Linked DNA regions of Elephas maximus indicus. The protein of the gene in region 1 purifies or fractionates together with the protein of each later gene. This does not show direct contact. Links are inferred from orthologs where the notes say so. Each region holds a gene or a part of one and is shown on either strand. Other genes may lie near its edges. The genes, in order: COPS6, KLHL15, CUL4A and TOR1AIP2.

The links.
Region 2: the proteins of COPS6 (region 1) and KLHL15 purify together in Homo sapiens (affinity purification with mass spectrometry; 3 studies listed by BioGRID and IntAct, with this or other methods). This does not show direct contact. The link is inferred for Elephas maximus indicus from reciprocal best matches to the Homo sapiens genes COPS6 and KLHL15.
Region 3: the proteins of COPS6 (region 1) and CUL4A purify together in Homo sapiens (affinity purification with mass spectrometry; 13 studies listed by BioGRID and IntAct, counting the BioPlex papers as one, with this or other methods). This does not show direct contact. The link is inferred for Elephas maximus indicus from reciprocal best matches to the Homo sapiens genes COPS6 and CUL4A.
Region 4: the proteins of COPS6 (region 1) and TOR1AIP2 purify together in Homo sapiens (affinity purification with mass spectrometry, with the first as the bait; 3 studies listed by BioGRID). This does not show direct contact. The link is inferred for Elephas maximus indicus from reciprocal best matches to the Homo sapiens genes COPS6 and TOR1AIP2.

What each region holds. Positions count from the first base shown.
Region 1 is NC_064830.1:91,596,064-91,603,425, reverse strand, and holds the start of COPS6 (COP9 signalosome complex subunit 6), read right to left. Parts: upstream 3,019-7,362; 5' UTR 3,002-3,018; coding exon 2,935-3,001; intron 2,714-2,934; coding exon 2,588-2,713; intron 1,886-2,587; coding exon 1,754-1,885; intron 1,339-1,753; coding exon 1,250-1,338; intron 1,147-1,249; coding exon 1,084-1,146; intron 774-1,083; coding exon 726-773; intron 642-725; coding exon 527-641; intron 438-526; coding exon 345-437; intron 247-344; coding exon 146-246; intron 16-145; coding exon 1-15. UniProt on the Homo sapiens protein: Component of the COP9 signalosome complex (CSN), a complex involved in various cellular and developmental processes.
Region 2 is NC_064846.1:155,086,262-155,093,883, forward strand, and holds the start of KLHL15 (kelch-like protein 15), read left to right. Parts: upstream 1-4,613; 5' UTR 4,614-4,850; intron 4,851-7,622. Other genes in the region: EIF2S3 (eukaryotic translation initiation factor 2 subunit 3), read right to left, coding at 1,078-1,199, 1,294-1,421, 3,824-3,887, 4,458-4,526. UniProt on the Homo sapiens protein: Substrate-specific adapter for CUL3 E3 ubiquitin-protein ligase complex.
Region 3 is NC_064841.1:79,608,568-79,615,417, forward strand, and holds the start of CUL4A (cullin-4A), read left to right. Parts: upstream 1-3,847; 5' UTR 3,848-3,928; coding exon 3,929-4,085; intron 4,086-5,689; coding exon 5,690-5,805; intron 5,806-5,951; exon of another isoform or gene 5,952-6,038; coding exon of another isoform or gene 6,039-6,098; intron 6,099-6,850. Other genes in the region: PCID2 (PCI domain-containing protein 2), read right to left, coding at 1,917-1,952. UniProt on the Homo sapiens protein: Core component of multiple cullin-RING-based E3 ubiquitin-protein ligase complexes which mediate the ubiquitination of target proteins. As a scaffold protein may contribute to catalysis through positioning of the substrate and the ubiquitin-conjugating enzyme.
Region 4 is NC_064842.1:42,817,267-42,824,095, forward strand, and holds the start of TOR1AIP2 (torsin-1A-interacting protein 2), read right to left. Parts: upstream 3,008-6,829; 5' UTR 2,859-3,007; intron 1,447-2,858; exon of another isoform or gene 1,386-1,446; intron 1-1,385. UniProt on the Homo sapiens protein: Required for endoplasmic reticulum integrity. Regulates the distribution of TOR1A between the endoplasmic reticulum and the nuclear envelope as well as induces TOR1A, TOR1B and TOR3A ATPase activity.

The DNA.
Region 1 (7,362 bases):
CACGTCATTGCATTGCTGGGAGGGAACAGAAAGAACCAGTTCCCCAGGGGATCCTTTACCGTATGCTCAGGGAACACCCGAATCCCATGTCCTGCATGCAAAAACAGCTTGAGCCCCACCTCCCCATCCTGGGCTTCACACTCACGTCATAAAAGTCTGTCTTGAACTTATCTGTGCTGAGTACAGGGAGGCAGTGGCAGAGAGCATAGGCCTCTCTCAGGATCTCATGGTTAAAGGGGACCTCTCCTAAAGGCACAAAAGCAGACTGCATTAGTATGGAGGCTGTTGGTACCTCAGGAAGTAGAGGAAAGATGGTACGAGTGCCAGGGAGGCACTTGTCCCACCTGCTTCAGAGGCCTTGACGTACTCCAAGATGAGCTTGACACGGCTGTGCAGCATCTTGATGGCGCTGTGCTGTGCTATCAGGTGTTCTGCCACTGCAGGGACAGGGACAGGTGAAGGGGGAGAAGACACGTGGCCTCCCTTCTACCCCTGCTTGCAAGGAAGCTCCGCCAGTCTCCGTTACCAGTGGAGTTCTCTCCGCTGCCTGTGGCTGTCATTCTGGCCACGTGGTCTACACCGATGCGTTCAGCTTCCTCTGTGGCCAGGGTGTAGGTCAGCTCGGCAAACAGCATTGTGGCCTACAGAGCAGAGTACCCCACAGAGGGTCAAAAGCAGGAAACAGGCCAAGAGCAGGATCTGAGGGTTGAAGGGTAGGGTATTACCTCTCCATTGATTATATCAATGACAGATTCAAAAACGCTGACAGGAAGCTGTAAAGAAGAGATGGAGAACAGTTCTAACATCAAATGTGCCAAGAACTGGACAGGGCTGTTTCACACATCTTCTCATTTAATACCCCCAAGAACCCAGTGAAGTAGAGACCATCCCTTTTACGTATGAGGAAAATGCAGCTTAGGTGTAAAATGATTAGACAAAGTCACAGAGCTGCAGAACAGAGGTTCAACTCTGGCATTCCCCAACACAGAAGTAATGTCATCCAGTAAAAGAGAACAGAGAAAGGCTAGAAGAAACAGTAACAGAGAGGCATGGTTAAAACGGCATGGGGTCAGTATTACTCACATCTGTGTGCTTGGTCATAGGGTTCAACTTAAGAAAGAGGGGACTCTCGATTATCTCACACACCTAGAACAGGAGGAAGAAGGACAAGAAAGTCAATGCCTTCTCTCTCCTCTTCCCCTCATCCTCTAGCCTCTGCCCCAGCATGCACATGTGTGAGCATGTATACCTGCTTATGGACGTGGATGTCGGAGGGGTCAGGCGGCCCCCCTGTGGTATACCAGCCGAGAAACTCCAGCTCCTTGAATACCTGTTTAACTGGAGAGGAAGGGGCCAAAGCACATAGTATTCCTTTAAACCATCCTTCCTCACTTTGAAGCTCCTGGTGTACTTTCATCATCTGTTCCCCATCTCCCTCAAATCCTGGCTTGTTTTAGAATAATTACTCCCTCTATCTATAGGGTCGCTATGAGTCGGAATCGAGTCGGCACTGGGTTTGGTTTTTGGTTTTATCCTGTCTTCTCTCATCCTTTACTTTTTTGTGGGGGAGGGTCTGGACCTGAATGTGTTCTTTTTCTGAGATCTTTTCAGCTACTCTCATCTTACTTTCCCTGTTCTCATCCCATTCTCCTGTTTATTTCTTCCCAATCCTATCTATTTCTCCCCGCCCCCCCTCCCCACCACCCTTTGCTTTTACTCCCATGCCTCTCCCCCACTTCTATTCCGCTCTCACACTGCTCCTCCTTGGTGTAATAATATTCCTTGTCAATGATAATCTTCTCTTCCACGGTGTGAGACAGCAGTTCAAAGGAGTTCATCACCTCAATATTTCGGCCCTCCTGCTTCCCGATCAGAGCCCCAATCACTGGGGAGAAGACACACATTAAGTGAGTACAGGTAGTCCCTGACTTACGATGGGTTCTGTTCTGATGACTCTGTAGTAAGTGATTTTCCACGTAAGTTGAATACGTCGTTTTTGTTTTCATTATTATTGCCTTTTATCATCAGTACCTTTATAAAGGAAACACTGATAGCATAGTAATTAAGTGCTACAACTGCTAGCCAAAACTTCGGCAGTTTCACTCCACCAGGCGCTCCTTGGAAACTCTATGGGGCAGTTTTACTCTGTCCTATAGAGTTCCTATGAGTCAGAACCGACTCGACGGCAACGGGTCTGATTTTGGTTTTAGCTTTATAAATCACAACATTGAACATCTATGAGTGAACATCTGAGAATAACATCAGCAAATTATGAGCGACAACACTGTAATACATATTACTAATGATAAGATGTATGAAATGAAAAAACCAGAAGTCCTAAGTGCAGTTTGTCCCAACTCGAATTCTAACTCAAACTCGACATTCGTTGTCGAGGACTACCTGTATAAGGAATTCCAAAACTTTCCCGGAAAGCCTGAGGTCAGTAGGAACCAAGTATTGGGAAAGCAGCGATTCAGGGAGAGGGAGTTGGCCTCAGTAAAACAAGGGAGTAGTTACCGGGGAAAAGTTCACCATTTGGGGAAGGTGACCAATGGGAGGGGGTTGGAAAATTATGCCAAACACTCACCCTGCATAGGCCGCCCCTCCTGGGAGCGCATGCGGATCCAGTGGTCTGAGATGTTGAGAATGACAAGGGGATGAAGAGCGACGGAAACACTACCAGTCACTCCGGAGGCCATCACGCTGGGGACTACTAAGGGTGGAGAGAAAGGGGTGAGAGTCACAGTCCGGGCACCACGTTCTTCCCTGGGGACGGGAGTGGGGGACGGCAGAACCCGGGCCCTACATCCCTCTGCGAGTTATCCCAGGGAAAGATGTGGCCGTTCTGTCCTCCTGACTTCTCCCGGGAGTCCAGAAAGGTCTTACTGCACCCGAAAGAGTGTCTCCAGAAACCGTCCCCGCCGGGCCCGTTACCTGATGCATCCACCTCCATCCCGGTGCTGCCTCCGGTCCCGTTCGCAGCAGCTGCCGCCGCCGCCATTTTCCCCACGCCCGCCAGCCTTGGTCCCACCCCCTCCTTCTCGGCTTCCGTACGGAGCAGCGGCGCATGCTCAGTTGAGCGCGCCTGCCCTGGCGTTGGGTGAGCTTTCGGTTTGGCGGTCTCCAGCTGCTCCTCTCACCCGACCATTGCGGGCGGCGCGGGCGGCCCTGTCAGCCGGCAAACCAGGAGGCCCTCGAGGCGCCTGAACCCGACAAATTTTCATAGACCCTGCCCCCATCTCTCTCCGCTGGTGACCTTGAGTAAAATTGAGATAAGAACACCTAGTTCTTAAGGCTGTTGGAAAATGAATTAAATGTCATGTTATTGCCCTCTGGATACAATCCAAACACCTAACCACCAAACGCAAGGACCTGCGTGATCTGATCCCCACCTGCCGGTCTACCTTCACCTCATACTTTTCTATCCCTTGGTCCTGTGCTTTAGCCACATTCCTCCCACATGCCCAACTCACCCCCACCCAAGGGTTTGTTCATCACTGGTATTCCCGTGATCCCCGTGTATAACCAACACAATATCTGACACAGAGGCATTTAAGTACTTTTTGCATGAATAAATAGGGGCGGAACCGGGTCTCAAGTGGTGCTAAATGCATGTGCTATCTTGCCTTCTTCCAGATATTGGTACCACATTTTTTCAAAACCCAACTTCCTTCTACCCGCCATCCCCTGCAGTCTGTGAAAAACTCACCTGGCAAACCTCCCAACCCACTCCAGCCCACTCCTACGCTCATGCAAATTGTATACACAGCTGCCCCTGTCTAGCTGGCACTTCTAGTGTGCATCCATACCCCAACCCAAAGTGTAAGCTCCTAGAAGACAGAGATCCTGTCAGGTGCCTGTTTTGTGATCCTGCAGAGCCCAGTCTAGGGCCCAGAACCAGCAGGTACCAGGAAATGTGTTCTGGTGATAATGGTGACTTGCATCATTGGTCAATCTCTTCATTTAGGAGTCTGGAAGAAAGGAATTTGAAGGGCAAGAACCTTCAAAGGAAGGAGACTGAGAAATCCTGCAGGGAGAGGAGTCTTCTGGCCAAGGGGAAATTAGGAAAGAGTTTTTTCCCCTCTAATCCACAGTGAGTAACACCCCACACCCAGGTGCCCATCAACTGAGAGGGTTGTTGAAGAAAATCATATATGCCTCACTTAGGAAAAATAAGCTCAGAAAAATGGTTTTCTTTTTAAAATGGTAGACGGCTACATTGAAAAGTTAAAAAAAAAAAGACAAGAATTATTGTAGTGTTAATAAAGTTCACAGCTGTGTTGTTTCACACATTAAAGCACTCCTTTGTCTTTGTTTCAAATGCTCTGGAAACATTATTCAACTCATAAAACAGTGGTTATTGGGGGAATTTAAGGATGACTTTGAAACTGAACCAGTTGATAATACATGCTTCAGAAGTAAGCTTACTGGGCATTTCTTAAAACTGCACTGTATTTTTAAAAACGACAAAAAACTCAAGTTGAAATTTTGGTGTTAAGACAGTCATCCTTAGGTTCTCTTCCTACCTTAAAACAAAACTAAATTCAACGCATCACTTTGTTGTTTTGGTAACTTGTCCATCCACAGGGTGACTATGGAAAGGACAGGAATCCTGCTGGTGGGGAACAGAGCAGAGGATCTGCTCAGAGAGAGCCAAGACTGGGTCACTGATTGCTTTGAGCCTGTGGTGTTGCCAAGAAATTGTACCTCTTTTGGGTCAGTGGTTATCCATTAGTCATTTATTCAACAAATATTTAGGAGTGCTTACTACGTGGCAGGCACAGTTTTAAATGGTGGAGATACAGTACTGAACAAAACAAAGTTTTGACCTTGTGGAGCTGATCTAGAGGGGTGCTATTTTACATGGAAAACTTCTCACGTAAAGTGAACAGGGACCTGAATGGAGCGAGGAAGCAAGGCATGATGATAGCTCATGGGAAGAATGTTCCAAACAAAGGGGACAAGTGCAAAGGTCTTGAGCCAAGACAATGTATGGTATATTTCAGGAATAACAAGAAAGTCAATGGCTGGAGCAGTGTGAATGAGAGAGAGAATAATAGGACATGAAGTCAGAGAGGTGACAGGGTTAGGTAATGTGATGCCTTGTAGGCCATTATAAAGACTTTGGCTTTCAGTCCGAGTGAAGTAGAAAAAAAAAAAAAAGACGTTTGAACAGAGGCATAACATGATTTGACTTAAGGTTTTAAAGGATCACCAGGCTGATGTGTGGAGATTAGAGTGTAGGGGGCAAAGGCAGAAGAAGCATGTAAAAAGCTATTGTTATAATCCAGGTAAGAGGTGCTGGTAGTTTGGTCAAGGACAACAGAAGTGGAAATAAGGAGATGACCAGTTATCCACATGCCTTCATGGACATTAGAAGAAGGCATCCACTCTGGAGCTTAGGCTGGATTTCAGTTTCCACCTACCCCTTCACCCAACTGCCTTTGACAGGGTACAACCTGCACAACCTACTCAGCAGTCCTGTGAGTCTGCTTGAAGTCAGGATAGATTTTGAAGGTAGAGCCAATAGGATTTGCTGACCCAAGGACTCTTGGACAGCAGGAGAAGCATATGAATCCATATCAGTCAGTTCGCAACAAGGTTGTGCCGGTCCAGTATCTGTCCACATGTGAAGGGAGGGACCACATTCAGGGGTTTCCATTTACAGCACCAGACACAGAAGAATAGCCCAGGACTGGCTGCTCCGCATGATTTTTTTCTGTTTTCGAGCACATGGACAAGGATGACAAACCCAGTGTGACTCAGACAGACCATCTGATGGTTTTGCCCTGCTGCAGTGCTGGATCTAGAGGATAAAGAGAGCATCAATTGATCCTAATTTTTTCTCCAGTCATCCCTGATTTGTGTGTGTGAGACAAGGGCATTTTTACAAAATTTATAAAGACCCATTATATCCCCCACCTTGACATATGTAGACCACTTTGGGGGGACCTGGAGAGTAGTGTACTCAATCAAGTGGTCATTGTCTTCATGATCTAGGACCACATCAATCCAACAAGAGAATACCCGTGGCAGAATCAGAATTAAGCCTGAATTCCCTAAGCCCGCTTTTGACTAGGCTGCACCCAGAGGGTGTACTAAGGTTGGCCTGGCATAGCCATTAGGGAAAAAAAGATGCATCATACTGAGGAACAGTCAGGGCGGAATTCTAAATTCTCAAAATAAGTATAATCTATCACCTCTTTCATCTTGATCATTACCCAAGAGGTGGCCAAGAGGAGATGAGGTGGCCCCTCTCTTGGGGGACAGTGGCATTCAGTGACTAGATCATCCTACTAGATCAGAGCAGAAGGAGATGAGGGAAGTAGAGCTGATTTTAGAGGAGGCCGTTCCAGCACTTGGCAACTAGATGCTGTAGATGGTAGGGAGTGTGGAATGTCTATCACATAACTTGACAATTGGCCATTATTGGGCGGCCTTTGCAAAAAAAAAAAAAAAAAAGGTGTACCATTATCAGATTGGAGAGGATCTGGAAAGCCTAAAGCATAAAAGAGTAGTTTCAAGGGCCAATCATGATGTGGCCTGAGTCAGCTGATAGGACTGGAACAGGGACACCACAACCTAAAGAAGTGTGAACAGAGGTGAGGCACCAAGAGTAGCCCCTAGAGGGCGTCAAAGGTCCTATATAGTCAATTTACCAGGAGCAGGAGGGGGAGGGGGAAGGTCTTATGCAATGTGGCTTCTGGGCAGTGCAGGATTGATCAACAGCTTGGTACCCGTCAGTCTCAGCAGAGAACAGGCCCCTACCATGGGCATCTACATGACTGACCCAACTGTCAGATTAGCAGCAAAGATTTGTTTCCACAGTTCACAGCCCTCAAGCGGGTGTCTTCAATTTGCCTTTCTGTAGTCTTCCAAGTGGTCGACCAGCTAGACCACTGGCAACAGCCCAGTTCAGTAAAATGCAGCAAGGTTTGTCAGGGGGAGTATTGGCCAGGCTTATGAGAACAACCTTGAGTTCTGTCTACTGAGCAGAGCAACAATGTCGGCTTTCAGTTTTCCACAGCAGCAGCCCAATATGGACACCATCAATTTCAACTTAGCTAAACCATCAGTGAACTAGGCTCAGGCATTTAGAGGAACCTCTGCGAACTGAGGACCCCACTGATCCATGTCTTTGCAACACCAAGATTCTGCTAGGGCCAGACTGGCTGTGCTCTTGAATTCCCATTTGACTAGCAAAGACTTTTAGCTTTTTCCCACCTTGCCAGGTTCAACTTGACTGGCCCCAAATGGGGATATCAGCCTAGAGTGTTACAAAGCCTCAATGGGTCAGGCTTTCAGTTTCAGTAGCAAGTTAAGAGCTGCTTTATAAAAGGGTATACCTGGTGGCTGTGTCGG
Region 2 (7,622 bases), on another chromosome or scaffold:
GATCATTACAAAGTAAATAAAACTAAGTTATATGTAGAAATAACTCACCTGAAGAGACAAAAACTCCCAAATCCAATTAAAGTGACTATGGTGTACAACGGGGTATAGAGTATATATCGGGAAAGCCATCAACTTGAAAGCTAAAACTTAATAAACTGTAAAATCTGTGTTGAGAAAGGGGAGTGACACCTGAAAGGATAATCTGCTGACAGTGTCTCTAGCACCTTGAAAAACTGGAATTGCCAATCTAAAATGGAGATGTCAGTGCTATTTTAACAAAATTATAGACCTCATACAGAATTGCTACTATTTTTAAAATTGTATGTTCACACTTCATGATCTAAAACAGGGGTTGGCAAACTAGGGCTTGCAAGTCCAATCTGGCCCACTTCCAAAATCTTTCATTTACGTATTATGTACATCTGCCTTATGATAGAAGGCAGAGCTAAGCAGGTACAAGAGAGACCCTATGGCCTGCAAAGTAAAAAAATATTCACTTCCCGAAGCCACTTTTCAGACAAAGATTAGACTAGACTATAAAACATAAAATAATACTCGTGAAGGGTGAGCTTCTCAGTTCAAGCAGATACTCAAGACCAAATGGGCGGCTCCTGTCCGGAGGCAGGAAGAAAAGGCAAGAAGGGACAGGAGCTGGTTGAATGGACACAAGAAACTGGGGGGAGTGTGCTATCACGTTAAAGGGATTGCAACTAGGGTCACATAAAAGTATGCGTGTAAATTTTTGTATGAGAAATTAACTTGAACTGTAAACTTTCACTTAAGGCACAATTAAAAAAAAAAGAAAAAAAATATTTACTATCTGGCACTTTAAAGAAAAAATTTGCTGATCTCTGATCAGGGCCAAGATTAAGGTGAAGCAAGTGAAGCACTCACCTTGGGTACAAAAATTCAAGGGGGTGCCAAATTAACTTCATGATAGACAATAAAAACATAAAATAATGGAAAATAAAAAAGCCATTCCACGATTGGGTTTAAATCATTCCCTTAAATATTTCAAAAAAACAAGAAATAATATATACATAAAATGTGAAGTGTGTTTAGCATGAAAGAGATCACCTGACTAATTTGAAGTTCCCTTTGGTCCCTGGAATGTCTGTAGGAAACTCATCGGGCGTATTACTTCCACAGGATTTATAACATTCTGGCCGAGGACAACTTGGGTCATCAAGTTTATAAATCTAAAAGTTTCAATTAAAAAAAGATTTGGATTTGTTATCTGCACATTCACCAATTAAACTTAAATGGTTTCTAGTTCCATAATACACAACTCACCTTAGCATTAGCATATCCAAGTTTGATTGTAATATTTCTTTCTAGCTCATTTTTGAACCTGACAGTGTGAACTCCAGAAATAGCTTTTACAACTGTAGATTTCCCATGAGCTACGTGACCAATTGTACCTATAATCAAAGTACAGAAAATTAATCCATGTGCATCCAATTACACCAAGTATTTCTTCAAGAGTGTTAGAACAGCAAACCAAAGCCATAGCTCACATTGTAGGTATGGACATGAAACCAGTAGTGGCTTCAATTTTCCCTCCTATATATCCTTTCCTACTAAAAACTTGTTTTGACACAGGACTAAAGAGAGCTTTCTGTGTAACTGACAACCTTGTTAAAAATCATACGTGGTGAAATATGCCCAAAAAACTGGACTCACCAATGAACACCAATGTTCACTGCAGCACTATTCACAATAGCCAAAAGGTGGAAACAACCTAAATGCCCTTCAACAGATGAATGGATAGACAAAATGTGGTACATACATACAATGGAACGCTACTCAGCCAGTAGAAGAAACGAAGTCTTGATACATGCTACAAGATGGATGGAGCTTGAAGATATTATGCTGAGTGAAATCAGTCAATCACAAAAGGACAAACAGTGTATGAGCTCACTTATAAAAATATAAGAAAAGGCAAATATACAGAGAACAAAGTTTATTAGTGGTTGCCAGGGGCAGGAGAGAAGAGGAAAGGGGGAGGGGTAAACAGTGATGGAGAAATTGTACTGATTAAGGATAGAGTCATACAGCAAATTATTGTAATTGCTGCTAGTAAGTTATATACTTATAAAAAGTCGAACTGGCAAAAGTTGTGTGATAGATATACTTACAACAACAACAAATAAAGGGTAGCTGCTGAGGCTGATTATGTACAACGAAAAACCTCCTGGAATGTGGTTTCTTAGTTTGGAAGTTAAGGGTCATGGTTTCATGGGACAGCCCAGTTAATTGGCCTAATAACATGTTTAGTGCCTCTGTTCTGCCTGGGGTCTTAAAAGCTTGCAAGCACATACCCAAGGTACAACAATTGGCCTCTATTTGCCTGGAGCAACAGAGGAAGAAGGTGAGTCAGGAATAGGAGGAGGATATGGAATGTGTGACTAACTGCCTCCATGACCAAGTGCCTCCTATGTCATGAGACCAGAAGAACTGGATGGTGCCCAGCTATTGTTACTCAATATCCTGATCAAGGAATCCACAGAAGAATCTTGATCAAAGGAGAAAAATGCAGAATAGAACTTCAAATTCTCATGGACTCTAGACTTCCTGGAGCCATGGAGGCTCGATGAACCCTTGAAATTATTGCCCTGAGATAATCTTTGAACCTTAAAACAAAAAAAGCCCCTCAGGTCTTCTTAAAACCAAACGATAGTTTACCGTAACTGGTAAAAAAATGTCTGTCTTGAGCAATGTGCTCTTTTAAGAACTATCTATATGGGATCAAAGTGACACAGCAACTCAAAAAGATTAGTTAAGAACCTTAGAGGACAGTGTGTTTATGTTAATGGTGGAGGAACAACTCAGAAAAGGAGGGTGAGAATGGCTGCACAACTTGAAGAATGTAATTAATGTCACTGAATTGTACATGTAGAAACTGTTGAATTGGTGTACATTTTGCTACGTATATTCTCAACCACCACAAAAAAAACCCAACATATCCTAAATACCTAAAAAAAAAAAAAAAAATCATACAGTGTAATAATAGCTACTCACCATATGTTATTAGAGAAATAACTGACTTCATTTGAAATATACGCTCGCTAAAAAGTATAAAATATCGTGTATTATCTTGTATATTAAGAAGCTTTCTAGCATTTCCAGAGTGAGGTGACTAGATATGATGAGCCCTGACACAACTAAGAGAAATCTATGAAAATAAGAAAACAATCCAAGTTTAATTACAGTAATGCTGTCAAGGGTAGATTATATTTTAGAACTTTTTAACGGCCTTGGGTAGAGTCTAACTTCTAACTAAGCTTTACTGTGATGTTTGCACAGACTCTCAAATATCCAAAATTTACACAGTCAACGTAACTTCTCTAAAGTTCGAAGGGTGCCAATTAGGAAAAAAAAAATACTCCACTTAATAATGGCTTATATATCAAATAAGACTTTCACAAACTGCTCTCACAATAACCCCGTGCAGCAAATACAGCCATATTTTCAATTCTTCTTTATAAGACTTTCACAAACTGCTCTCACAATAACCCCGTGCAGCAAATACAGCCATATTTTCAATTCTTCTTTAAACTCCTGCTACGTACGACTATATAATTCCTTACGTTAAATTTTTCAGGGTCTGGGTTACATCCTTCCTTCTCACTCAGTCTGTAACCTAGGTATTTGCAGCATTCTCTGTGTTTCCCAAGAAATCTAGCAGGTGCTTTGTTCACAAGAGTTCAGTATCTACTTCTTATATACCTGAATCCTCATATAATTCAATTAATCACACCAAGGGAGAAGTTAAAATTACTTGCCAGTGATCAAGCACGTCAGGACTCCAAGTTATTCTTACCTATGTTAATTGTGGCTTGTCTGCTGATGACTTCGTGTGAAAGGGGTGTCAACTTGGCAACATCCTGCAACGAAACATTTTATTATAAACCACTGCACAGAAGACAAAACAGGGTTTTCCATCTGACTTTACGTTTGCTACCTATAGCTCATCACCATCTGTACAGCTCTCTATTACTTCTGAAGCGCTTTTCCCATACAAGCAATCTTGTGCTCTGATGACTGGAAAGCCCGAAGCACCCCTAATCGTTACACAACAAAAGACTACGCCTGCACTCTATGAGAAATCAGGAGGCCCGAGGCCCCCAACTTTGGAAGCTTTAGCACTGAGGGCCGTGGAGATGCTCCCTTCCCAAGCCTTCAGAGTTTGGTCAAAGCCTTAATGACACTCCGTGACGTTCCATCCGAATCCTTCAGGAGCTCGCGGTCCCACGAGCGCGCACACCCACAGCCAGCTCGCAGACCGGTCGAAGTGCAAGCGGTGGCGCGAGCGCGACGCAGGCCGCTCGGATCCGGGGCTCCCTCCTAACTCAGGCTCCCGACGGCCCGGCACTGCCTCGCCCCAACGCCTCCCGGGAGGCATGACCATCCCCACTCCCACGCTCACTCCGCGTCCTCCCAAAGCGAAACCTCACCAAGGTGGCGAGATCCTGGCTAGAAAGATGTGACTGCCCCAGAGTCACTCCCGCCTCGCCCCCCGCCATCTTGCCCAGAGAGGAAGGAAGTCGGCCAGGCTGTCGGCTGACAACACGCAAGCCCTCTGGTGAGGGGCGGGGAAGTCGAGGCGGGAAGACAGACCAGGGCCCAAGCCTAGCGAAGGCGGATGACCCATGCAGCAGGGACCTCACTGCTTGGACTTCTCTCCGCTTAGGCTCATTCAGTGCTAGTCGGCTTACTAAGAAACACAATGCAAAGTGTCGGGATCTACTAATCGCAGAACTGTTGGCTATTTGGGCAGGCAACATTTAAGGCAGCTCCAGAAAAGGTCCTTTGGCCTGGAGGGGAACGTAACACGACGCTCCGCGCTGGTAAGGGAGAAGCTATTTCCGTTTCCGGGAGCGTTGCCCGAACCGGTTTGCCGAAACTTGAGAATTTTATCTGGGGTGTGAAACTAGAATATAGAGAGACTGTCGTTATTTACCGATTCCTGGGTACAATTTAATAAGGCGAAGTCGGCTCGGGATCCGCGCTGCCTGCAACGGTGCTCGTGGCTGGGAGGAGGCCGCGTGCTGAGCGGGCTACGCTCAAGGCGCCGCGCGTCGCCTGTCAGGCTTCGGGGAGGGCGCCCTCGCGTGGAGGTTAGGGGAAGGGCTCAGGGGCGCCCGGATAGGAAAAGCAAAGTTCCTAAGTTGTTCCCAGACGGAGGTCTCTAGGGCCTTGAGAGGTGGTCCGTGGTGGCACTAGAGTGCACTCCGAAAGGATTTTGCTTCGGGGAGAAGCTAGGTGTCATAAGAGCGCCCAAAGTAAGTTTTTAAAAAAGCAGGTCCAAGAAAACCCACTTCTTTAATGGGAAGATTACCAATCGTCATTTTAAAATTTAAACAATTTTGAGACTCAAACCTTTTTTCATCGCGTGTTAAAAAGAAGTTGGGTGTTTTTTGTTTTACTCCATACATTTTTATGCTTTGCAGTTTTTCTGTTGTAAACAGGTATTCATTATTAACTGGAAAAAAGATATAAGGAGAGGTACATAAAAATTTAGGTTATATGTACCCATTGAGTACTTAAGATTAAAATGAATATGTGTTTTATATAATAAATTTTAGGTACAACGGTTTACCTAAATAGATAGCTGTGTTTCAATGAGTGCATTCACTGGCTAAGTGATGGTGGAAACTATGCTATATTGTACTTGGATGGTGATGTTTAATTCTTATTTATCTTAGCTTCTAAATAGTTATACCAGCCAATTAAGAAAACCCGTTGAGGTGGTGAAAGAGTTCCAGAATTAGATAGTGATGGTTGCACAACTTTGTGACTGTAATAAAAACCACTGAATTCTATACTTTAAAAGGGTGAATGTTATAGTATGGAAACTACATCTCAATAAAATAAAACTCATTGATAATACCTAGAAAATAACTAAATATTATGCTTCATTGTCAGAAATTTTTATTGGAAGTAAAAAGGCACAGGAAGCAATAATTAATTTCAAATTAATGAAAATAGTGGTTAAAATTATTGGCACCTAAAATTGTTGACACCTACTTACCAAATATTGGTTTAATCCTCACAACAATCCAGTGAAGTTGTTAGGTGTCATCAAGTTGATTCCGACTCACAGTGACCCTGTGTACAACAGAATGAAACACTGCCAGGTCCTGCATTATCCTCACAGTCTGTGCTATGTCTGAGCCTGTTGTTGCAGCCACTGTGTCAATCTATCTCCTTGAGGGTCTTTTGCTTTTTTGCTGACCTTCTACCAAGCATGATGTCCTTCTCCAGGCAGGCACTGGTCCCTCCTGATAACATGTCCAAAGTACATGAGACGAAGTCTCACCATCTTGCTTCTAAGGAGCATTCTGGCTGTACTTCTTCCAAGACAGATTTGTTCATTCTTTACTGCAGTCCATGGTATATTCAATATTCTTCGCCAACACCATAATTCAAAGGCATCAATTTTTCAGTCATCCTTATTCACTGTCTGTCTTTCACATACATATGAGGCAATTGAAAACACTATGGCTTGGGTCAGGCATGCTTCAGTCCTCAAAATGACATCTTTGCTTTTTAACACTTGAAGTAGGTTGTTTGCAGCAGATTGGCCCAATGCGCGTGTTGTTTGATTTTTTGGCTGCTGCTTCCATGGGCGTTGATTGTAGATCCAAGTAAAATGAAATCCTTGGCAACTTCAATCTTTTCTCTGTTTATCATGATGTTGCTTATTGGTCAGTTGTGTGGATTTTTGTTTTCTTTATAATGAGGTAGATACTATTATTCTCATTTTACAGAGGAGGAAACTGAGTCCCAAAAGGCTTAGGTAACATATCCAAGTTTCCACAGCTAGCAGCAGAGCTGAAATTCATAGCCAAGTCTGAGTATACTTTTTTTATATACTGTTTTTTTAATTGGCTTTATTGAGGTAAAATTTACGTACCATAAAATTCACCTGTGTTAGGTATACAAGTCAAAGATTTTTAGTAAATTCACAGAGTTGTACAACCATCGCCACAATCCAGGTTTAGAACTTTTCACTCACCACAAAGAGATCTCTGGTGTCCATTTGCAGTCCGTCCCCATTCCAACCTCAGAGACATTCTGTGTATATAGATTCGCTTTTTCATATAAATGGAATCATGTAACATATGGTCTTTTGCCTCTGGCTTCTTTCACCTTGCATATTGGTTTTGAGGTTCATCCATGTTGTAACACATAGTAGTAGTTTGCTCCTTTTTATTGCGGAATACAATTCCATTGTATGGATGTACCACATTTTGTGTATCTGTTCACCAACTGATGGATGTTTCAATTGTTTCTACCTGTTGGCTATTATGAATAATGCTGCTGCGGACATTCGTGTACAAGTTTTTATGTGGACATGTTGTGGTATGGTGAATTACTTAATATGGCCCTTCTAGCCATAGTCTTTGTAACTCCCACCAAATGACTAGGTGGGACTATGCAGATGAGGTGCCTGTGACCCACCAAGGGGATTGGATAGCTTGCTAATAATGTAAATAAGGCACATGTCACCCTTGTGGGGGTGGGACCAATGCAAGTAAGGCATATGGAATCCTAATGAGGGGATTGGTCAGTTTTGCCATCCCACTAGGCTTAAAATGAACCATCCCGGAGGCGGG
Region 3 (6,850 bases), on another chromosome or scaffold:
AGCAACTTTTGACTCTAGAGAGATCTATATTTTAACTATACTTCTGCCACTTACAGGGTACACTGACGTGAGACAAATTTTGTCGTTGTTGTTGTTAGGTGCCACAGCATCGACAACTCGTAGTGACCTCATGTGATAGAGCAGAGCTGCCCCACAGGCTTTTATTCTAAGCTGTAATTTCTAGGGGAGCAGATCACCAGGTCTTTCTCGTGAGCTGGATGGGCTTGAACTGCCAACCCTTCGTTTAACAGCCGAGAGCTTAAGTTGTGCCACCAGGGCTCTCTGACACAAATTTTACCGGTACTTTTTTTTTTAAATGGTAGTAATTGGAGCCCTTGTAGTGCAGTGGCTAAGCGCTCAGCTGCTAATGGGAAAGGTGGTTCGAACCCACCAGCTGCTCCGTGGGAGAAAGATGGGGCAGTCTGCTTCTGTAAAGATTTACAGCCTGGGAAACCCTATGGGACAGTTCTACTCTCGCTATAAGTCAATTCAATGGCAAGAGGTTTGGTTTTCTGGTTAAATGGTAGCTGTTGTTGTTACATGCTGACGAGTCAGTTCCAAATCACAGCAACCCTTTGTACAACAGAATGAAACACTGCATGGTCCTGCGCCATCCTCACAATTGTCAATAGGCTTGAGCCCTTTGTTGCAGCCATTGTGTCAATGCATCTTGCTGAGGGTCTTCCTCTCTCACTGACCCTCTACCTTACCAAGCATAATGTCCTTCTCCAGGGACTGATCCACCCACTGACAACATGTCCAAAGTATGTGAGACAGAGCCTCACCATCCTCACTTCTAAGGAGCATGCTGGCTGTACTTCTTTCAAGACAGATTTGTTCATTCTTCTGGTAGTCCATGGTATATTCAACATTCTTTGCCAACACCATAATTCAAAGCCATCGATTCTTCTTTGGTCTTCCTTATTCATTGTCCAGCTTTAGCACGCACATGAGGCAAGTGAAAATATCATGTCTTATTCCTCAAAGTGATATCTTTGCCCTTTAACACTTTAAAGAGGTCTTCCGCAGCAGATTTCCCCGATGCAATAGGTCATTTGATTTCTTGACTGCTGCTTCCATTGGCGCTGATTGTGGATCCAAGAAAAAACGAAATCCTTGACAACTTCAATATTTTCTCCATTTATCACCATGTTGCTTATTAGTCCAGTTGTGAGGATTTTTGTTTTCTTTATGTTGAGGTGTAATCCATACTTAAGGCTGTAGTCTTTGCTCTTCATCAGTATGGTAGTAACTATGACTAAATATTGGCTAGCACTAGGACTACAACAGTCGCATAGTTGCTAGCTCCATCTCCTATTTGAATTACCTCAAATTCATCACTTCACATTTCCACCAGTGCCTATTCGAAACAAAAATGGGACTAAACCAGACCCTTGGTTAAGACTTCAATGGCTGCCCAAGGGCTAAATCCAAACTTCTCGGCGTCGCTTACAGGCTCTTCAAGGCCCACGAGAACCCACGCCTCTCCCGCCGCAGCCCCCCGCATCCCTAAATCGAAAGCACCGACCATTTGGTTCCTCCCTGAATTCCCAGCAAATCCAGTAAGTCTATATACCCAAACCATGATTAATTCCCATCTTGCACACAAGAGCTCAGAAATACTCAGCAAACACTAGGTGACCTGCCCAGCAGACCGTGAAGCTGTGTCTGGGTACCGTATGTCCGCACCCCAGCCCTGTCGCTTCACACTAATGCAGGAAAGGCTGTGACGTCGACTCTCGGTTCGAATCCCTCCCAGGACACCCATGTCACCGCCGCCCATCAGTAAAGCCCAGGAGCCAACGGAGCAACGGGCAGGGAAGCAGTCACAGACCTCAAGAGAACGGAACACAACGGCGACAGCGGCCGGGGGCGCCCGCGCACTGCCACTGGTCCTCCCCCAGCGAAGAAATTACCTGCTGCAAGTACTGGTTGATGGTGATGTGCGCCATGGAAGCGGCGGCCAGTCCTGCGCTCAGTCTGGCCGACACCAGCCTCTCCCACTTCCGCCCGCGCGCTGACGTCACTTCCGGCCCAGCGGCGGAGCGCGCGCCCGCCGCCCGGCCACGCCTTCCTCTCGGGGTCGCTGGGAGGGGGCGCTCCCGGGGGGCCGGCCCTCTTCCACCGTGGGCTGAGGGAGGCGGCTGAGGGATGCTCAGGGAGGAGGCTCAGGGGGGAGGCTCAGCGGGGAGGCTGAGAGGGAGGAGGCCCAGGGAGGAGGCTGAGAGGGAGGCTCAGGGGGGAGGCCCAGGGAGGAGGTTCAGGGAGGAGGCTGAGGGATGCTCAGGGAGGAGGCTGAGGGAGGAGGCCCAGGGAGGAGGCTGAGGGATGCTCAGGGAGGAGGCTGAGGGAGGAGGCCCAGGGAGGAGGCTGAGGGATGCTCAGGGAGGAGGCTGAGAGGGAGGAGGCCCAGGGAGGAGGCTGAGAGGGAGGAGGCCCAGGGAGGAGGCTGAGAGGGAGGAGGCCCAGGGAGGAGGCTGAGGGATGCTCAGGGAGGAGGCTCAGAGAGGAGGCCCAGGGAGGAGGCTGAGAGGGAGGAGGCCCAGGGAGGAGGCTGAGAGGGAGGAGGCCCAGGGAGGAGGCTGAGGGATGCTCAGGGAGGAGGCTGAGGGATGCTCAGGGAGGAGGCTGAGGGATGCTCAGGGAGGAGGCCCAGGGAGGAGGCTGAGAGGGAGGAGGCCCAGGGAGGAGGCTGAAGGATGCTCAGGGAGGAGGCTGAGGGATGCTCAGGGAGGAGGCTGAGAGGGAGGAGGCCCAGGGAGGAGGCTGAGGGATGCTCAGGGAGGAGGCTGAGGGATGCTCAGGGAGGAGGCCCAGGGAGGAGGCTGAGGTGCCTTCCCGGCGGACTTCCTCTCGCCAGCTCTCAGCGAGGCAGCTCCCTCGCTCGCGTTCTCGGTTTTTGTTTGGTTCCACCGGCAGGCGCAGGACCACAGACTGGGGCAATGGGGGTTTTCATGGGAGTCCCTGGGGAGCCGAGGGTTGCCGTTTCTCGGCGGAGAACAGCCTCATGGCCTCGCTGCCGCGCGATACCCTCGGCTCCTGCGTGTTCAAAGGAAAAATCCCACCGCCGACGGGGACGGGACCGTGTCTACACACCCTTCCCCCGACCGCCCTGGTCCTCGGCGCCCCGGGCCGCGCACGCGCGGTGGCAGCGGCCGGTGTCCATCCCGCTGGCAGCGCGACCCCGCGGGCCCGTAACGAGGGCGGGGGCTCCTGGGGGTCCCGGGGGTCCGGCCGCTCCGGGGCCCCTCGGCCTCTCCGTACGAGCTTCCGCCCGCAAAGGGCCGCGCCACTGGCGGACCGAGATGGGGACAGCCATGAAGAGCCGGCCCCGAGTCCAGGGCGCTGCGCCGTGGGGCGGGGGACCCGGGATCGAACAGGGGACCAGGCGCGAATCGGCGGTTGGGAGCAAGCTCGTGGAAGGCCCGGCGGTGCCGCGGCTCGCGCGGCCCCGGCCCCCTTCCCGAGGCGGAGTCCCGCGGCCCGGGCCGGGGCAGGGGGCGGGCCCCGGGAAGTGGAGGCCGCTGGCGGGGGCGGAGAGGAGGCCGGGTTCCGGCTCCGGCCGGCGGCGGTGTTTACGGCGCGCGGGCGCAGGCTTCCAGCGGGCGGCCGTGCGGGCGCGGAGAACTTTTATCTGGGAGAAGGGACGGCCGGCGAGGGACGAGCGGGGCGGCGGCCCCGGGCGCGCTCTCGGCGGAGGCTCCCGGGACTCCCTTCGCTCCGCGGCCGCCGGCGAGGCCTAGCTCGCACCCCGGAGGGGCCGGGGCACCGGGCAGGGGCGGAGAAGGAGGCGGGGAGAGCAGGCCGGGGCAGGAGGAGGAGGAGGAGGAGGAGGAAGCGCGGCCGGGCCGCGACTGGAGGCGGGAACAGGCCGAGGGCGGGGGTGGGGCGGAGCGGCCGCCGCCGGTTTGTTTTCTCGGCAGTAGACATGGCAGACGAGACCCCCAAAAAGGGAAACTTTTCGGCTCTCGTCGGGCACACCAATGGCCTCACGAAACCTGCCTCCCTGGCAGCCGCCGCCGCCGTCACCACCAAACCTGGGGGCGGCAGCGGCTCCAAGAAATTAGTGATCAAAAATTTCCGAGGTAGGTGCGTGAGGGCGAGCGCGCCCGGGCTGGGGGAGGGGCGGCGGAGCCGAAACGGCCTCGGGACGGGCCTGCCCCGCGCGGCCCCGGGGGCTGGCGGACACAGCGGCCGGGCCAGCACGTCCCGCCGGGGCGACGGGCCGGGGCGCGGGGCGCGGGGCGACGGACGAGGGCGCATGGCGACGGTGCGGGGCGCGGGGCGACGGACGAGGGCGCATGGCGACGGTGCGGGGCGACGGGCCGGGGCGCGGGGCGACGGGCCAGGGTGCGGGGCGACGGACGAGGGCGCGGGGCGGCGGGCCGGGGCGCGGGGCGGCGGGGCGGCGGACGAGGGCTCGGGGCGACGGGCCGGGGCGCAGGACTACGGACAAGGGCGCATGGCGACGGGCCGGGGCGCGGGGCGACGGCCGGCCGCGGCGGTCCCGGGAGGAAGGGGCGGCCGAGCGACTTCCTGCGCCCCCCGCCGGCGGCGGGTGCGTGGGGCCGCGCGGCGCGGACGTCGGAGCGGCGACGGCCAATGGGGAAGGGGCGCGGGTCGGCCTCCCTGCGCACGCGCCGCGCTGACCTGCGCCGACCTCGGCCGCGCTGGACCCTGCGGGGTCGGGGACCCAGAGCCGCCGCGGTGCTTCGGGGTCCCGCCGGGCCTGCCCTCTGCGTCTCGGCCTTCTGTCGGCCGCCGGCTAGCTTTCTAGTCTGTGCTGCCTCGTGAGATCTCTGTGTAACGTGGACATCACTTTGGTCCAGTTCCCAGGGACTTTTGGACTCCGTACACCTTTCCCGGTACCGAGTTCAGGGAGGTTTGAAATCTTGTGCGAGACTAGGACGGCACATCCCTCCCCTAAGATAGAAAGAAAGAGGCCCAGTGAGTCGGCAGTTTAGCCTCCTGACTCAGGGCGCGTACCCGGAGCTCAGCACTGTGCGCCTCAGGACGCAGACCCTGCAGAAATAGGGATCGTCCGTTAAGTGTGTACACACGGACTTTTTAAACTTCACCTGACCGCCCTAAATATGGGACATTGGAGATTTATACCATATCAGGTCTTCTTTGTAGCAGTGTTTTGTTCTCATGACTCTATGCAATTGATAGAAAAATCATAAATTAGATAAATAATGTATGGTGATTGGCACAGCTGAACCAGAATAAGCCACTACTGCGCGCGTCACTGTACTTTCTGTTACTTCCTCCACCTCTTACCACCTCTATCTTGGATAATATCTCAAAATAAGCATCTTTGATGCGGGTATATACAATTACAAGCTTACTCTTTACCTTCCAATGTTAGATAATTTATATCAATTTAAAATTGCGTAGAGCTTAACTGTGCCACGTTTATAATGTTCTGATGTCAACTTGTTAAGGAAACTAAGATGTGTAAATTTGAAGTATTCATCCTAACTAACTATTAGTACTAAGTATTGAAATAAAGATGTTACCGTTGCTTAGTCCATAACCCAAGGAATTTATAAATGCAATACTTTGAATTTGGAAAACTTGATTTTCCTGTTTTTTCTGCTTTTAAGTATTTTTCTTTGAGAACATTTTAGAAGATGTGTTACTGTCCTGTGGCAGCCCTTCTCCACTGATTCTCTTTCTGAATTTACAGACAGACCTAAACTGCCGGATAATTACACTCAGGATACATGGCACAAGCTTCATGAGGCAGTGAAAGCCATACAAAGTAGTACCTCCATTAAATACAACCTCGAAGAGCTCTACCAGGTAAGGGTCCAAATGTAGTAAACTGTAGAGTTTGCTAGAATTTCTGTTGAGACGTGAATGTGGAATTTTCTTAGACCTGGAGAAGTTCCTCAGAACTTGATTTGGTTGACATCTTGTCATTACAGTTACCTGGTTGTCTCTCTAGTTGTTTAAACGCATCGCCCAGTTCCTGTGAAATGTGATACAGGTGAAGATTCTACATTCCACTTTAAGAGAGTCAGCAGTGACAGAATATGAATCCAGAATGTCTCAGTATGTTTGCCTCAAACAGGAACAACAGGAGTCCTGTGAAAGTGGGTCCTGGTGTGTTTTTGTTCATTGGTTCTTATTGGGTTTTTATTTTGTTTTCAGGCTTAAGCTGCCTGGGAAGATTTTAGTTATCACATTGCAAGAATAAGGTGGGATGTTTTTCAGAGCCATACGATTCTAGTAATTTCCAAATACGTAGCAAATTATTATTATCACATTATGTTTATGAAATTCTTAATTGTTTTTCTTGTTAATATAGATTTCTCGCTTCATTGTGTTTTGTGATTAATTGCTGAAATGAAGTTCTGTAAACACATTTTATGTTTAATATGAAGTAATGAAATTCCATTTTTCAAGGAAGAAAATGGTTAAAAGAACATTTTATTTGAATTTTTCATTTACAACCTGACTGGTTTTTCTGATTTTTTAAAGAATAACATTCATTAACTAATAGCGGCTACGTTTTAGGCTACAATATCATATCACACAATTATTTCCATTAAAAAGGCTTGCATTTTTAAAGTTACCTTTTTTTCAGATGATGTGAGTGATTGGATTATAAAAATTATGGAAAATACAAAGCAAAAATTACCTATGCTCCCACCAGTCAAAGAAGGTTACTGCTGACATTTTCATGGACATAGTAAATAGTTTGTCTTCCTGTATGTGTTTATGATGTTTTTAATCAGCTTTATTGAAATGTAATTTACACATAATAAAATTTTTTCATTAAGTGTACATAGTTCAGTAAGCTTTAGTAAATGTATACAGCCGTGTAACCACCACCATCAAGACG
Region 4 (6,829 bases), on another chromosome or scaffold:
AAGTTAACAAACCAATGTTTTAAATTTGACTTTTTGCACAAAGGTAACTACATTTTTACATTATGTATACCTACGGTGAAAGTCTGAAGGAGAATATATAAAAATGAAAACAATTTGATTTGTTGCGGTAGCAGAGTTATAGGTGAATTCTCTTCCTTTCTGTTTCAACCACCAAAATCATGTGCCAACTCCTTTTATAGTAATGAAGAGAAAAGTAGCCCAAAGAGCAATAACTATTTCCGTTTACTGAGTCCTTAAACTATCCCATTTAATATTCCAAATTACCCTATGAATCTTCACTTTGTAAGTGAAGAAATGAGCTTGAAGTCACACTGACACAACAGGAATTCAAACCCAACCCTGACTCCAAAGTTTATGCTCATAACCAACGCTGGGGACATCCTTCCTTATTCCCAAATGCTTGATTTTCTGTTTAAAGTTTATGATAAAATATAATCACCGTATTGAATTCTCTCTTGTAGCAAGCAGTTTAATGAGTAGTTTGAAAGGTACAGAAATATTAATAAGATTTTAATACAACTAAAATCTTAAGTTCAAAAACAAAAAGAGGCCATTTTTAGTTGTTATTTTTTTTGGAGCTTGTAGAATCCCTTTATGTGCTTTTACATTTGGAATCCTTCCCTTTAAAAGAGGTTTGTTTAGTGTAGCTATTCTGAGCAAACCTTCCTTCAGCAAACTCAGGTGGCACTTTACAGAAACATACATTTTTGTAGAATATAATTTGAAATGATTTTTTAGGCAAAATAAATTATATATGAGACAAAATAAATTATTAAAATATCCAATAATTCTCAAACAATTAGCTAAATTCTGAAGTCGGTTTATTTGTGAATTATAGAAGCTCTTTAGGCTAATACTGTCACCTCTACATTAGATAGGAAACTAGGAAAAATAGAGCTTAAATGAGTCACCCAAGGTTATGTGATAAACCAGCAGCAAAACCGGTAATCAAGTTGTGGAGTCTATACTCAACATAATAAACATTCCTGAGGGCTGTCACTTTTTCACAGCGAATATCAGTTTTTCAAACTCTTCTGATCCACACAAAGGCTTCCAAGGACATTTTTAGTTCCTCTACCATGAAATTCCTTTTCCTATTTAATGATTTTCCACTGGCCATTTATATACTGGAGTCCCAGGATGGCATAAACAGTTAAACACGTGACCATAAATCCTCACCTACTAACCAAAAAGTTGGCAGTTCGACCCGCACCCAGAGGTGCCATGGGAGACAGGCCTGGCAACGTGCTTCCAAAAGGTCACAACCTTGAAAACCCTATGGAGCAAAGTTCTACTCTGCCATACTTGGGGTCGCCGTGGGTCAGGGTGGGCTCTATAGCAACTGGTTTGGTTTTGTGGCTTACCATGAAGTTCCTTTTTCTATTAAATTGATTTTCCACTGGCCGTTTATATACTAATCACGTGCTATAAAATAAAATAAAACAGATAAATATGGATAATTGCCATGTTTCTAATTCTTAAAAAACAGACAAGGAAAACATCTCTCATATAGACCCAAAATAACTGCTCTTAAACCTAAGGATAGATAAAAGTGAAACAAAGCCAGTATGTTCAATCAGAGTGAACTCATATCCATGTGAGTGTAACAGTATAAAGTCTAACAAGTACTGCTGACAAAGTAGATAGTGCCAAAGTATGGAGGACTACAGGCTTGGTTGAAAGAAGAAAAAGGTGTAAACTTTTTCATTGGGTATGAAATACAATAGAAAGTAGGGTTCATATATAAAAAATGGGAGCCCTGGTGGCACAGTAGTTAAGTGCTCCGCTGCTAACCGAAAGGTCAGCGGTTGGAATCCGGGAGTGGATCCGAGGGAGAAAGGCGTGGCAGTCTGCTCCAGTAAAGATTACAGCCTTGGAAACGCTATGTGGCAGTTCTAGTCTAACCCACTGGATCGCTATTGAGTCAGAATTGATTCCATAACAATTTTTTTTTTTTTAAATATGTAGTACGTAAGTAAATGAGCCCTGGTGGAGCAGCGGTGAAGAGCTACAGGTCGACAGTTCAAAACTACCAGCTGCTTCTTGGAAACCCTATGGGGCAGTTCTACTCTGTCCTATAGGGTGGCTATTGGTCAGAATGGGCTCGCCGGCAATGCATTTGGTTTTTTGGTTTTAAGGAAAAAGTCAGTTGTAGGGTCTTCCAAAAACTTCAAACTTTGTGCTTCTTAGCACCATTAAGGCTTTAAAAGGAGTCCCTGGATGGTAAAAAGAGGTAAGCCGTCAACTACTAATAGAAAGCATAGCGGTTTGAACCCACCCAGAGGCCTCAGAAGACAGGCCTGTTATCTACTTCTGAAAGGTCATAACCTTGAAAGCCATATGGAGTACAACTCTACACATACAGGGTTGCCATGAGTTAGAATCAACTCAATGTCAACCAGTTTGCTTCTTTTGGTTTTTTTCTTTAAAGGCTTTAAAAACAAAAAAAAGTTAACTATTTTAAAAGGATTAAGATGAACGATGGGATCTTGTGAGGTACATGTCACTTTTTTCAAGGAGGTAAAGATTACTCACTACCTGCACTAGTATTCGTATTTCCCATTTACTCTTTGAACCTTATAAGAATTCTGCTCCTCATTTTACTCTCCAAAAAAAAGAAAAATACACTCACCTTATCCTATTTAGTACTTTTAAAATTCTGTTTATCCTTTTTTACTATAAAACAAAAATATACCCCCATCCTACCCCGTTTAATGTTTTTGCGGTAGGGTGGTGGGGGTGGGGAGGGATCGTTTCTCAAAGAGCGTTTGAAAGGAGAAGGTATCCGTTCAAATATTAAAACATAGAAAAGTTGAATATGCATTTTGTTTACTTACAAATTCCAGGTGTTTTAAACCGTCGACTGTCAAATGTGCGGGGAGCCTTCGAGTGTTCTTCCTGCTCCACAACACTGGGCTACACCCCACGGCCGCAGCCGCTAAATACCGTTCCTGTCCCCTGTCCCCTGCTCACGTGACGGCGACCTCCGCCGGGAGGCGCCCACGGCATGCTGGGACTAGTAGTCTCCCGGTCTCTCCCCTCCCTTCTCTTTCCCCCTCTCTTCCCCTCCACACCCTAAACCCCAGCAGCCAGCGGGGCGCTGGAACTAAAGACTTGGTAAATGCGCACAACAGAACCGCAGACATCCCAAGATTCTTATGCTGATTGGTACCTGACCAGAAGCCAGGCATCTCTACAAGACGTCTGACGCCCCTGACCCCTTAAGGATCTGAAATTCATAGGCTGGAAAAACCCACAGAACCATGACAGTGAGAGGCGGTACCAAATGATAACGACAAGCACCAGTCAGACTTGGCTTAGAATCCGGCCTCTGCCATTACTAGGTGTGTCTTTTCAAGTTGCTTAACCTAAGCCTCAGTCTGCTCGTGCATCAAGTGGGGCCAATACTACCTGACTAATACGGTTGCTGTGAGTAAATGAGATGACGTAGAGAGCGATAGCTGCTAAATGATATTAGTGAATGATCAATAAAAAGGAGGTATTATTTTGACCTATTAATTTTATAAATGTGAAAACTGGAGGAAGGGAAGTGATTTGCCCAAGAACATATGATTGGTTAGGGGCAAAGTAAATTAAGTCTAAAATTCAGGTTTTCCAGTTTCTGAACATCAGTGCAAGACAAAACAGAAGATATCTACTCACTTCTCCAAGTAAATAGCCTCCTTTGCCATGACACTTATGACCAACACACTATTTTTGATTTTTGTCTGACTCCTCCCTTAGAGGAAACCCTGGTGGCGTAGTGGTTAAGTGCTAAGGCTGTAACCAAAAGGTCGGCAGTTCAAATCCACCAGGCGCTTCTTGGAAACTCTAGGGGGCAGTTCTACTCTGTCCTATAGGGTCACTATGAGTCGGAATCGACTCGACAGCAGTGGGTTTGTTTTTTTTGTTTTGGTTTCCTCCCTTAGAATATAAACTTCAAGAAGTCAGAAAGGGATTTTTGTTAGTCTTTTGGTCTATTTTGTTTACTGCTGTATCCACAGGACCTAGAAAGGCAGGGACTGGCCAGTACATAGCAGAAGTGCAAATATTCACTGAATAACCCCTATAGTATTTGATTTTTAGTGCCTTCACCTCTCTGATATCTTCTTTTAGCAGAAGTCACAGGATTGGGAACACCCTTAGATTCTATTCATTGACTAATTTCTAACTGAACAAAGAATATGGAGAATATGTATTATATTCCATTCACCTCATTAAGTTTTCTTAATTTCAGCATAACATTTCCAGCAGATGTTTTCACTTATCTTAAGAGTCCTTAAAATGTTTTTCTAACACTTGTGAGAATGGGGGGGGTGGAGCCAGTTACTATATCCTTAAAATTTACTTCCTCTTATTTAATATTTTATTCACCTTTCCTTATTAAAATTAACATTATCCTTTTCTAAGATAGAACCCCAAAGGTATTTCCCTGTACGACCAGAAACGTTGCGAATATTATAGATGTTTACTTGGTAAATAACTGGATTCCTACTTTTTGTTAGGTGCCATCAAGTTGATTTTAGCTCTTAGCGACCCCGTGTGACAGAATTGTTCCATAATGCTTTCTAGGCTGTAATCTTTACAGGAACAGATCCCCAGGTGTTTCTCCTGCTAAGTAGCTGGGCGGGTTCAAAACCGCCAAGCTTTAAGTTAGCCACTAAGTGCTTAACCACTGCACCACCAGGGCTCCTTAGAATTTGTTTACCCTAAACAAAAAACTCATGTACAAAAACAATTTTATCTGTAAAGTTACTAGGTGTGGGAGGCAGTTACAGAAAAGCTGGGATTATGTATCCTTATTACGTAAACAGAGGGAAAATCCTAAGTGAATGTGACTCCACTTTTAAGATTCTCATGATTCATTTATTCTGAAAGCTGTTTTTAAGCATTTAAAAGCATTTTAAGTTACAAATTAATATATGTGATTATTCAATAATATATAAAAGCTCTCATCATTCTCTCTTGTAATATCTCCTCCAAACCTAAGTTTTATAAACCTGTATCCACATTTCTATATAGTCACCTTCCTGGTAAATGTTTCAAAGAGGCTCTTAATGTTTTAATAATCATAATATGAACTTTGTGTATTAATAAAGTTTTATATCTTTTAATAATACCTATTAACAAACATTTACTGTTATGTGTTAATAATGAGTAATATACTAACCATGCTATAGAGAAGGCATTACTTAAATAAAATGTAACCAATGTGGCTGAATAGTACTATACAAATTGTTAAATGGGAACCTAATTTGCAGTGTAAATTTTCACCAAAGATACAATACGTATTTTTTAATTAAAAGAACCATAAATAAAAGCCAATTGTTACCAAGTATTATTACTTTTCTGCATTGTGTCCTGCAAATTTTCCACATGTACCACCTAACCCAGGCTAACAAGGGACAATACCTGTTTCAATTTCCCTTAAAAGATTAAAAAAGGAGGAGGAAAACTCCCTCTCTTTACTTTTCCTCCAGCTTATAATAAACGAAGCTAAAATAAGCTAAGCTCTTAACGGGCTAAGAGACTCTCTAAAGCATGTAATTCCTTGTATCTGTAACCAAATTTAGACTATTAGTGAAAGCATAATACACCTAAAAAAAAAAAGACTTAATTAAATTGAAATTTGGCCCAATTTTGAGCAAATGAGTATAATAAACATTCTAAGGTGATTAAGTAAAATACTTGAAAGAAACCTGTTAGCACCTTCAATTTTTTCATAATTATTCATTGTAATTGGTATCCAAATTACGAATTTTTTTCATCTGCTTACTACAATCAACCATAAAGCCCTCCAAGCAGACAAGAGTGTATATAATACAGCTTTCTTTCAATAATTATTCAGACTTAATCGATTTTCCCTCAGCTTACTAAATTTGGTTAATTTGCTGATTATCCAAATCTCTAAGCGTGGTGGGGAAACAAATGGCTTTTATCGTGTTTTTTTTACTCAGTAAACACAGGAACTCTAAACCAAATGCACTATATCAAGCCACGCCCAGGATCAAAATGAAAATAATGGGTCACAACTTAAAATACAGCACTGCCTTTAATAAAAAGTATTTATTTCTCACTGTGCATAACGCAGTACTACGAACCTGCTGTTGGAATAGAGCTTATATTCGAACGTATGCTATGCACGCATCTCTAAAACGGAGATCCACCGAGTTCGACAGTAGATACGACTTTGTACACTCTTAACGGGTGACTTAAAACTGGGTGACAGCCTTCATAAGAAACTTGAAATTTTAAGTTTCGCCGTGAAAAGAAGACATGTGCCAAAGACGTAAGCGTCACTCTTGCCAGGGACACTTGAAAGGGTATGGCCACGGTAGCGGTCGATCAAAAGACATCCCAGGAAAACTGCGCAACAGCCTGAAGTCGAGGACTGAAACAAGTCTTCACCCTCGTCCCACTGGCTTTTCCCAGACGCTCGGTCCAGGGGGCCATGACAGGCGTCTCCTGCGCGCAGCCAACACCTGCCGGCAGCGCCGGGCTTAGGACAGGCAATTTGCGCAGCCACTTGTCCCTTTTTGTTGCCCCTTCCCCTCCCTCCCTCAAGGCCGAGGACAGCAACGTCCTCCTCCTCCTTCTCCTCCTCTTTGGTGCCTCCAGCCAGGAGGCGGGAGTGACCCACAGCAGCTGACCCAAACCAGGCACTGCCTCTCCCACAGCCCACAGGAGCCACCATGGGCCCAGAGGCGGGTTTGCAGCACTGCAGCGACGACGCAGGTGGCGGCCCCGGCGACTCTCAGCTACCTCCCTGACCACCGCAACCACTGCCCAACACCCCGAGAAGCCATCG